Macaca mulatta: one gene and its partners. The protein of the gene in region 3 interacts with the protein of the main gene of each other region in a pairwise test. Links are inferred from orthologs where the notes say so. Each region holds a gene or a part of one and is shown on either strand. Other genes may lie near its edges. The genes, in order: LNX1, SNX22 and DVL3.

Region 1 (3,749 bases), on a different chromosome or scaffold from region 3:
ATTTTCTAAACAGTGTTTTTCTTAGGAAAGAGGCTCTGCCTTAGTGTTCTTTGTAGTCTGCAGACTTAGTTCAAAGTCAGTGTTCTCAAATATGTATTGACTAAATTAGTAGTATAAGGGGATATATAAAAATTTAGGAAAAAACTTAGCTTCTTGAGCAGCTCAAGACTTCACCATTCTCATTAACTCATTTCAGTGGAAATCAAATGAGTCACCACACTCATTAACTCATTTCATTAAATTTGTTCTTGAGGTAACCATAATTTTCTCATTGGGAAAAACTACCAAACTCTTTATACTATGCCGAATCTTTTTCGATAGGCCTAAATTTAGAGAATGAGTGCAGAATAGGAAAGAAGTCCACATTTACATTCAAAGTTTAAAGCCACCTAGTATCTGAGGTCACTGATCAAAAACAGCTGCCCATTTCCCAGTGGGAAGTAAAATAACCCAACTTAAGAAAAAAATGCCCACAAAGTCAGATCAAGGTCTGACTTTGCAACGGGTTAACATAAGGAGGTCTCACTGCTGCAATAAAGTTAAATACACAACACCAATAAAAGAAAGCATTTACTTTTTAAGGAAATAAAACAAGTAACACTGGTATCAACTTGAATGGATGCTTCAGGAGGGCAGGGGATTTTGTGTTTTGTTTAAACATCTGCAGAAAGATGATCAAAGCAGGGTGTTCTCTCCAGTATCAAGAGGTAAGAAAATGGACACACTGTGACTTACTGGGTTCAAAGCTTTGAACTAGAACATGTAATGTTTTAGATGGTTATGTTTACAGCTTCTCCATATGAAATATTCAGTAAGAGTATACTCATTTATATATCAAACTGGGCAATGTTAAAACTGGTATTTGATCATGACCTTGGATAACAATCATCTAATTCTTACCTTTCTCCAAAAAATTGGGCACACATCCTCCCAGGTGGGAATGTTAATGCTTTGGTATTTACAGAATAGTCAGTTACCTGCTTTGTACATGAGGAGTCAGTGAACCATTATGTAAAATGTGTATCTGACACACCACAGCTCCCAAAGAATGAATTTACCACTGACATCAAGGTTTACTGTGAAATGCAGCAGATACATATTTTACAAAATATGAAATTTAATGAAATTCATACTTTTAAGCAATCATTTCAGTAAAAGAAATTGTTATGATGTATATGTATGACAATAGATTCAGAACTGGTTAGAGTTGAATTTCAGCAATACATCTTAAAGGTATTTGCCAAACAAACCCTAAAGCTCATTTTATTTCAAGTGAAAACACCATCATGAAAAAAAGTCATGTCACATTGACTAACAAGGTTGGTAACAAATGTAATGATCAACTTTATCACTTAACATTTCACAAGACTTTTTATTGGTTCTAAAAAGCAATTAATATTTTAAAGGTACGGTATATAAACAAAATAGCCATATCTTGATTTTTGGCAACATGAAAAGGCCAATTTCCTTTCAAAACAATTCCTGGACTACAGCTACAAATGTGGTGAACAACGTCATATAGAGTAAAATTCAACTCCTGACACACACTTCTATGGCAACTGTAACATAGTTAACACTTGGCCTGTACCTATATGAACACTGATTCATTAGGGGCCAGTGAATAAAAATTTCTTCAATCTCATTTGCTATTTTAGTTGAGGATTCTACTAATTTACAGAAGAGCTGGGCCTTTCCTTCTCCCATTCCTTTTATAACTTCCTATCCAGTTTCCTGCAGTTTATTTTTCCTCCTATATGAATTGTTCTTATAATCTTTAAATGTATCTGTTTCCGTTCACTTTATGCCTGCATGCTTCTCTATGACTTGCCAAACATGTAGAACTGGGTGTAAAGTGGTATTTTTCCAAGGTCAAAAAAAGTATACAAATTCATTTATTAGGATTAGGTTTAAATTGCTTTCATTGAGATTATTCAAAGGATTTTTGCCTTCATTAAAAATTATATCAAGTAAATATTATATGACATCCATGTTTGTTCACCAATAAGGATTTAGGTTTATCCAACTTTTTGCTAATACAAATTCAAGCATTGTCTTAAGTTAAAAATATGATTATCGTTCCCAGTAGATGTATAACAGAACACAATAGGGGGTGTCAGTTTTTTAAGGATATTCAAAATTATGGAAAACAGAGGTTCAATTACAAAAAGCCAGCTAACGGCACAAAGGTCACCAAGGTACGATACAATTTTGAGTGGGACCTATGCAGTGCTACTTAGCCATTAAAAATGCCAACAAAAGGAATGGGGGATGAATCACAGTTAAGTATTCCCTTAACTGTAACACTTAAATGTGCATGTACACTGACTACATTCTATTTCAGGTGCTTGTATAACTGTAAAGACATTATATTACGAAGAAACACAGCTGGAAGTCTGGGCTTCTGCATTGTAGGAGGTTATGAAGAATACAATGGAAACAAACCTTTTTTCATCAAATCCATTGTTGAAGGAACACCAGCATACAATGATGGAAGAATTAGGTAATAAAATAATGACTAACCAAAAAAACTTGTATTAAATGTTGTTTAATAAATGCCAAAGCTTGGCCTCATTTGAGATAAGGCATGTATTTATTATACTTTGTGGGGAGTTAAAGTATTTATGTAGCATTCAACTTCTGAGAAATCCAAAATAATTACACATATTCTTAGTCCCATACTACAACTCCCCATACTTTTAGCATTCCTTCTAACACAAGCTGAGTGGATAGTGAGTTTGGAGAATGTAAATAAGAGGCAAGAAATATCTAAATTAAAAGCAACATAATTAAAATGATCAGATGCAGCAAAAATTAGGACCACTAAGATAAACTTGCATTAACTTCAGCAATGAATTAAAATACTAATCATATCTTGGTTTTTTTTTTAGATGTGGTGATATTCTTCTTGCTGTCAATGGTAGAAGTACATCAGGAATGATACATGCTTGCTTGGCAAGACTGCTGAAAGAACTTAAAGGAAGAATTACTCTAACTATTGTTTCTTGGCCTGGCACTTTTTTATAGAATCAATGATGGGTCAGAGAAAAACATAAAAATCACAAATAGGCTAAGTTGAAACACTGTATTTATCTTGTCAGTTTTTATATGTAAATACACTGTTAAAATGTCAGGAAAAGTATGATCTAATGAAAGTCAGTTACACCTCAGAAAATATGATTCCAAAAATATTAAAACTACTAGTTCTTTTTCAGTGTGGAGGATTTCTCATTACTCTACAACTTTGTTTATATTTTTTCTATTCAGTAAAAAGCCCTAAACAGCTAAAATGATTTGTATACCCCACTGAATTCAAGTTGATTTAAATTTAAAATTTGGTATATGCTGAAATCTGCCAAGGGTACATTATGACCATTTTTAATTTACAGCTAAAAGATTTTTTTAAATGCATTGCTGAGAAACAATGCTTTCATCAAACAAGAAATAAATATTTTTCAGAAATTATAGTTGTCTTTTAGTATGTGATACTAATTAAGATTACTTGTATTATTACCATTTAAAAGATCCTAGTAATTTATCCTTGCAAATACCATGTTATTTGTTACCATCACTGACAAATGTGTTCTAGGGCTATCCCTAAAAATGCTCAGAGAATATAAACTTGTTTTGTTTTAGTAATGGCTAAAGCTCTTTTTTCCACAATCGTTAGCGACTGTATAAAAACTTGCGCTGCTCCACCAGTGGGCCTTGGGAAATGCATCAAGGCCAAACCAGCTTGACCCTGGCTCATA
Region 2 (3,749 bases), on a different chromosome or scaffold from region 3:
TCTGTTAAGGGCCTAACACAAATCATCTCACTTTTTTTTAGACAGAGTCTTGCTGTCGCCCAGTCTGGAGTGCAATGGCTTGATCTCGTCTCACTGCAGCCTCTGCCTCTCAGGTTCAAGCGATTCTCCCGCCTCAGCCTCCTGAGTAGCTGGGATTACAGGCATGTGCCACCACACCCGGCTGATTTTTGTATTTTTAGTAGAGACACGGTTTCACCATGTTGGTCAGGCTGGTCTCGAACTCCTGACCTCAGGTGATCCGCCTGCCTTGGCCTCCCAAAGTGCTGGCATTACAGGCGTGAGCCACCGTGCCCCGCCAAATCATCTCACTTTATACACTCGCCTGAAGGAGTCACGTTATCCCTATTTTGCAGATGAGCAAAGGTCTACAGAGCTCCTGAAATCCAGGCTTTCTGACCCCCAAATCGGAGCTTAGGTCCCTAAACTGCCTCTTCCCCACAAACAGCCTGGAGACCCTTAGGGTTGGAAAATAGGAGTGAATGGATGGATGAAAACAATGAATGAATGTGTGTGTTGGGGGGCGTGGGGGTGTGCTGTGGATGCTGGAGAAGGGGGCATCAAAGCTGGATTGGGTTCAAGCCTTGCTCAGGTGTGGCCTCAGCCGGGGACTCCATATCACAATCCCAGGGAGCAGGCTTAAAGGAAGGAAAGGCTTGGGAAGGGACTGAGGAACACAATACAGGTCCCTGGTTGGCCCCAGGACCGGCGCTGAGGCCCGGGTCCCGCCTCCGGCCACGCCAGGAGCCACAGGCCGGTCCTTAGTTCATAGCAGGCGCTTAACTCAGGATGGGTGACATTTTTGCTCCCCAGTTCCTGGCATCAGTGAGGGCTCCGTCAATGTTTGACAAACGGGTGACTCCATTGCCCCGCGCTGCGGGCGCACTAGACCTCGGGGGCGGCGTCCGGGTCCCGCTTAATCTTCTAGGCTCAGGACCCGCCGCGCAAGGGAACGCCCGGGGCGGGGTCGCCTGGGGGCGGGGCCTGCGGGCCGAGGGGGCGGGGCCGGCCGCGCCGGGGTCCTCCGTCAGCTCCCGGAGAGTTAGGGCTCCGAGCCGAGCGCGCGGAGCGGCCGGGGCCGGGGCGCGGATGCTGGAAGTTCACATCCCGTCGGTGGGGCCTGAGGCCGAGGGGCCCAGGCAGAGCCCGGAGAAAGGCCACATGGTGAGCGCGGCCCCTGGATGGGGAGGGGCGCCGGTACCCGCAGGATTTGCCCGCGCTGCACTCAGTGGGGACCCGGAGCCCGGGCCCAGGTGAACAAACGCTGCGGGCTGGACCGTCGGGGGAAACCTTGTCGAGGGTTTGGGGGCCGCTTGGATTTGCCAGCCTCGCGGGCCGTGGTTCGAGCTCTTGAGGGACCCCAGGGCGCCGAGGGGAGGGTCCGCCAGCCCGTTCTTCCAGGTGTGCGGGAGCGAAGCGTCCCCGAGGAGCCGCGGTGCCGCAAGGCCGCTTTGTGCCTTTGAGCGCGGGAGGGTGGGCGCGTCGCCGGGCGCAGGTTCTGCTGTGTCCTCCCGCGGGGCCTCACGCGTACCCCCGCTGCCCGCCCGCGCCGCCAGGTGTTCCAAGTGGAGGTGCTGTGCAGCGGGCGCAGACACACGGTGCCGAGGCGCTACAGCGAGTTCCACGCGCTGCACAAGCGGGTGAGGCGACGCCGACCTCCCACCGGCCCCGGCCCCGGCCCCGGCCCCGGCCCCGGCCCCGGCCCAGCCTCCGTCCAGCCCCTGCCCAGGCCCTGTGAGGCCGGCGGGCGAGCTCCAGCCCCAGCCTCCGCCACCCCTATTACTGCCTCAGTCCCTGCGAGGCCGGTCAGCCCCCGGGCGTCTGTGGGTGGGTTGGAGCCTTCCTCGCCCTCCGCCTGTCCACCACTCACCAGGGTCTGTCCCAGGGTACAGTCCGAAGGCGGGGGCGCGGGAGGGTTTCCGGCTCGGGCGAAGAGGGCTTGAGGGCTCAGTCGGGATGCTGTGATTGCACGCGGTAAACCTCCAGTAGATCAAGAAGCTGTACAAAGTGCCCGACTTCCCCTCGAAACGCCTGCCCAACTGGAGGACCAGAGGGTTGGAACAGCGCCGGCAGGGCTTGGAGGCCTACATCCAGGTATGCGAGGGCACACTTGGTTGCCCCCCAGCCTGCTGTGCCAGGGGTGTGGCCCAGACAGAGAGGTGTGAGGGCATGGCAGGGAGTGAACCCACGACTTGGGGTTGTTATTCACCACCTCAAGCATCAATCTTCTGAAGAGTAATATAAGTCCAAACACCCACCTCTGGACTGTTGAAAGGACTGAATGAGGTAATGGACACAGGTAGTCCCAGCTCCATGAAAGCCAGGTCCTGTCCCCTCCAGAGTGAGGTCCTGTGCTGCCCTCCTGATGGGATGTAGGGTGAGGGTCCTTCCCCCAACAGCGAAGTTATGCCACATCATGGGGTACAACCTGTGCACACAGGGCCCAGCGCTCAGAAGGGCCCTGAGCCTGGTTCAATTGTCTTGAAATTCTTTTTTTGGAACAAAGAGCCCTGCGTTTTCATTGGCACTGTGCTATGCAAATTAGTAGCTGGGTCCGATTGCAAGTCTCCTCTGTCGTCTCCAGGGCATCCTGTACCTGAACCAGGAGGTGCCCAAGGAGTTACTGGAATTCCTGAGACTTCGGCACTTCCCCACAGATCCCAAGGCTAGCAACTGGGGGTAAGGGGGGCCGGTGGCGGGGGCCAGGGGCTGTCGGCAGTGAACAGGTGAGGAAAGGTGTTGGAGGGCAAGCCCTTTCGTCTCACATCTGCCGGGATCCAGCTTGACATGACCACCGTCACCAGCCTTCTTGACCTGGGTGGAGAGGCTTTTCTTTGGACAGCCTTGGTTACCCCAGCCACCTCCGGAACTGGGGCTTGTTACAAATAGAAGCAGTGGTCCCCTGGGAGGCGCAGTTCTGGGCTCTGGTGTCTCCACCCCTTCCTCACGCTCCCCTGGCATCCCCAGGCAGCTTACAGTGTTTCTCTTCTCTTCAGCGCCCTGGGGGAGTTCCTGCCTGGCGAGAGCAGGCAAGTCAAAGCCCTAGCCCGCGCCTGGCCCCTGCCGCCCCCTAGTGGCCATATGCTAGGAGGCGGGCCTGCTCCCTGGGCCTGTCTGGCCTGGGCCCTGAAGTCTGTTTTCCCTTTGGTGCCTCCTGAGCCCATTTCCCACTCATGTTTTCCTTCATGGGTCCCTGGTGATCTCAGCCCCGTCTCCACCCCTCTGTGGGATTCTGCCCTGCCTCCTGCACCCATGGTTTATGACCCTCTTTCCTCCCAGCTCCCAGCAGCACCAGCGGCCTGTCCTGAGCTTCCATATGGATCCCTATGTTTGCACCCCCTCCCCAGGTGAGGAGGTGCCTAGATACCGGGCTACAGGGGTAGGGTATTGGGCTTGGCATTTCTCAGCTCCTGGGACCGTCAGGCAGCATCACCTTCCTGCTGCCCACCTCTGGAGCCACTACCTCCTGCTCCTGTTCCCTGGAGCCTGCTTTGTAGACACAAGGAAAACAAGTTTGGCTTCCCTGGTGTCCATTTCCTCAGCAACCTGACTTCTTTACCAAGCTGATATGAACAGAATGTGACCTGGGAATGCTGAGGCTTCATTTGGGGTGGACAGCTGCTGTCTGCTACCTTGGCAAGGGCTCCTACACCCAAGTGGGGGCTGAGCCCATGAGCAGGAGCTCAAGGAGCTGCAGGCCTGAGGCCAGACCTGTTTAATTCTATCCCACA
Region 3 (3,649 bases):
CAACCTTGCACCAGCTGAGTGAACAGAAGAGAAAATGGCCACATAAGAGTTTTGCAGGCCGGGCTCACGCCTGTAATCCCAGCCCTTTGGGAGGCTGAGGTGGGAGATCACCTGAGGTTAGGAGTTGGAGACCAGCCTGGCCAACATGGTGAAACCCTGTCTCTACTAAAAATAATAATAATAAAATTAGCCAGGCGTGGTGGTGTGACCCTGTCAGGAGGCTGAGGCAGGAGAATCGCTTGAATCAGGGGGGAGGAGGTTGCAGTGAGCTGAAACTGCACCACTGCACTCCAGCCTTGGCTATAGAATGAGACTCCGTCTCAAAGAGTTTTGCCGCTTCTAGCCCACTGAGGCCAGCAGAGAAAGTGCAAAAGCTTGGCAAGGGCCTTAAAGGGATTGGGAGGTACAGCTTTGGCTAAGAATGATGACTCGAGGCCTTCCTGAGGCGGGTCTCCCTGGAGCTGGCTCTGGTGGTGGCAAAGCGGGTCTGCGGAAGGGGCAGCTCTCTGGTCTGTGCCTCCTCTCATTCTAGCCAGAAACTACCACGGTCTCTGTCATCCAGAGCCCACCTGACCTAGGCTAGGGACCTCTCTCCAGAAAGACCTAGCTCCATCCGGCCCTTCCCTCCACAGACATGGCCAACCTGTCTCTCCACGATCACGATGGCTCCAGTGGCGCCTCTGACCAGGACACACTGGCCCCTTTGCCGCACCCGGGGGCCGCCCCTTGGCCTATGGCTTTCCCGTACCAGTACCCGCCACCCCCGCACCCCTACAACCCGCACCCAGGCTTCCCGGAGCTGGGCTACAGCTACGGCGGGGGCAGCGCCAGCAGTCAGCACAGCGAAGGTAAGGTAGAGGGGCCGTGGAGGAAGGCTATAGGTAGGCCTCAGGCTTCCCCCGCCCACTCAGCCTGCCCCGCGCTGGCCCTGTTTGCCTCCTACAGGCAGTCGGAGCAGTGGCTCCAACCGTAGCGGCAGCGATCGGAGGAAGGAGAAAGACCCGAAGGCCGGGGACTCCAAGTCGGGGGGCAGCGGCAGCGAATCGGACCACACGACACGCAGCAGCCTGCGGGGGCCGCGGGAGCGGGCGCCCAGCGAGCGCTCAGGCCCGGCGGCCAGCGAGCACAGCCACCGCAGCCACCATTCACTGGCCAGCAGCCTTCGCAGCCACCACACACACCCGAGCTACGGTCCTCCCGGAGTGCCCCCTCTCTACGGCCCCCCTATGCTGATGATGCCCCCGCCGCCCGCGGCCATGGGGCCCCCAGGAGCCCCTCCGGGCCGCGACCTGGCCTCAGTGCCCCCGGAACTGACCGCCAGCAGACAGTCCTTCCGCATGGCCATGGGAAACCCCAGTGAGTTCTTTGTGGATGTGATGTGAGCAGGGCCCCTCCCTCACCTCCATTCCGCTCCCACCCCAGCCGGCTGCGTTCCTCTCTCCATCCGTCCGTCTTTTTTACTTTGTCTGGTACCTGAAAGGGAAATAAACGGAACTAAATCCAGGTGCGCTAACTGCTCGCAGGGTGCTGCGAGGGTGGGGTGCACCTACCGATTGGCTCTGCAGTCCCCTAACCTGCCTCTGGCCCCACTTCCTTTCCTCTGCCCACTAACCGCTGCATAGGACTTCTCAGGACCCTTTTTGTCCCTGGGACCAGACTTGGTGCTGCCCCTTACTCCCCTCTGCAAACCCCCTTTTGGGAGTTGACCCCAGCAATGTCCTTGGTGGCATGCTCACTCCCTCATTCTCTCCTTTCCCCTTTAGCTCCCTTTCACCATTCATTCAGCTACATAATCCCTCTATTAACCCACCCTATCAGGCACGTGTGCAAACCTCTTGACTTTACCCCACATTACTGACACCAAAATATATTTGCTTCATCTGCCCCTACTAACTGTCCCCCTGCCTGCTGCCTTAGCCCTGCAACCTAAAGCTGTAGTTGCCTCCAGTAGCCATCCATGCCATCCCTGCCTGTGCCCAGGATCAGAGGCCCAGAGGGCCCCCTCAGTTGCCTGAGGGGCTAGTGCCTTCCAGGGAGCATCTCTGCTCTACCCCTGCCCCATGCCTGCCCTGCGTGCTGGTTCCTTCAGACCCCTAACCCTACTAACCATCAGGCTCTTCTCACCTCCAGGCCTGAAACATTTCTTTTCTTTCTTTTTTCCTCCCCCAATTTTCCCTGGGCCTGGAGCAGCCAAGAATTTCGGGCTGTTTGACTTTCTGTGAGCCCCCAGCGAGGGGAGGCCCAACCTCCGAGGAGACCAGGAACCCTGCTTCAGCAGCCCCTCAGGGCTTCCCAAGGATGTCCAACCCCCACACCCACACGTTAACATAATGGGTCACTAGGCTTCTGGGGAGGGCCCAGCTTCACCCATGCATGAGAGACTCTCCTCCTTTCCAGAGAGAATCGGACTGTACCACATGTGGCAGCCTGCGAGGGGATGGGGTGCGAGTTGGGGGGGGGTGCCTCTTTAGCTCTTTATCTTTCTCATGTATGCATACATGCACAGAGACGCAAGCACAGGTGCCTATGCAAGTTCACTAAAGCCTCAGGGCTGGTCCCTGCCGGAAGGGCTGGACCCTCTCAATCCTCTCCTAGGTTGTGGGGCTGGTCCCCTGACACCCTTCTCCCCATCCTGGTAGCCCTCAAACCTCGCACACATGTCCCCGGCATTTTCTCACCTGGATAAAGCCTGTAAGCTGGGTCTCAGGCTGGGCTCAGCAGAGGACTCGCCCTGCGACTGACAGACCATTCCCACCCCCACACACAACCTCCCCCGTTTTCACATTCACCATGACACCCCAGAGCAAGGACACAGGAGCCCACAAGCCAATTGAGGTTGGGCAAGGAGACTACCAGGACTTCCAGACAGAGTACCAGGTTTTATTTTTCACCTTATTCTCCACTTTAAACAAATCATGACTTTCTCTTTAAGCCTCTGCTATAAATTCTCCTGGCTGTCCTGGGCTTCCATATTTTGGGGGCTGGGGTGTCAAAAGTGAGATGAAGTCCTTAGCTCCAGGTTTTGGGATAAACCAAGGTAGGGACATTTTGGCATTTATTTCAATTAACAGTACTTCCTTGGACGGTTGCGGTGGCTCACGTCTGTAATCCCAGCACTTTGGGAAGCTGAGGCAGGTGGATCACTTGAGGTCAGGAGTTTGAGACCAGCCTGGCCAACATAGCGAAACCCCATCTCGACTAAAAATACAAAAATTAGATGGGTGTTTTGGCACCTGCCTGTAATCTCAGCTACTCAGGAGGCTGAGGCACAAGAATCGCTTGAATCCAGGAAGCAAGTGGAGGTTGCAGTGAATTGAGATCGCACTCCAGCCTGGGTGACAGAGTGAGATTCTGTATCAAAAGCAAACAAAAACAATACTTCCTGGGATTTTGGTGCACAGGGAGCTTTGTTGGAAGTGTGACTCAGTCTTGCCTGCCTTCTGGGAGCTCTAGAATTGTTCCCAACCTAGTCCGTGGCTTCTAGCCACCACTAGAAGTTTCACGTACTTCTCTCTCTGACTCTGTCTTGTCCAACTCTCTGGAGAATTTCTCCACGATTGCTCATGCCTGTCAGTATCAGTGCTTCCATCGTTCCATCTTTGATTCACTTCTCTTTCCTTTCTGTTTACTCCCAAAATGGAGTCATTCA

The links.
Region 1: the proteins of DVL3 (region 3) and LNX1 interact in a two-hybrid assay, tested with the Homo sapiens proteins (2 studies listed by BioGRID and IntAct). The link is inferred for Macaca mulatta from reciprocal best matches to the Homo sapiens genes DVL3 and LNX1.
Region 2: the proteins of DVL3 (region 3) and SNX22 interact in binary tests that used the Homo sapiens proteins (3 or more experiments, as listed by UniProt). The two-hybrid records come from large-scale screens. The link is inferred for Macaca mulatta from reciprocal best matches to the Homo sapiens genes DVL3 and SNX22.

Annotation. Positions count from the first base shown.
Region 1 is NC_133410.1:80,049,183-80,052,931, forward strand, and holds the end of LNX1 (E3 ubiquitin-protein ligase LNX), read left to right. Parts: intron 1-2,341; coding exon 2,342-2,500; intron 2,501-2,888; coding exon 2,889-3,024; 3' UTR 3,025-3,636; downstream 3,637-3,749.
Region 2 is NC_133412.1:41,496,969-41,500,717, forward strand, and holds the start of SNX22 (sorting nexin-22), read left to right. Parts: upstream 1-1,074; 5' UTR 1,075-1,107; coding exon 1,108-1,182; intron 1,183-1,574; coding exon 1,575-1,658; intron 1,659-2,007; coding exon 2,008-2,112; intron 2,113-2,602; coding exon 2,603-2,697; intron 2,698-3,014; coding exon 3,015-3,047; intron 3,048-3,297; coding exon 3,298-3,365; intron 3,366-3,749. UniProt on the Homo sapiens protein: May be involved in several stages of intracellular trafficking. Interacts with membranes containing phosphatidylinositol 3-phosphate (PtdIns(3P)).
Region 3 is NC_133407.1:96,305,208-96,308,856, forward strand, and holds part of DVL3 (segment polarity protein dishevelled homolog DVL-3), read left to right. Parts: intron 1-632; coding exon 633-848; intron 849-945; coding exon 946-1,356; coding exon of another isoform or gene 1,357-1,382; exon of another isoform or gene 1,383-1,503; intron 1,504-2,190; coding exon 2,191-2,222; 3' UTR 2,223-3,649. UniProt on the Homo sapiens protein: Involved in the signal transduction pathway mediated by multiple Wnt genes.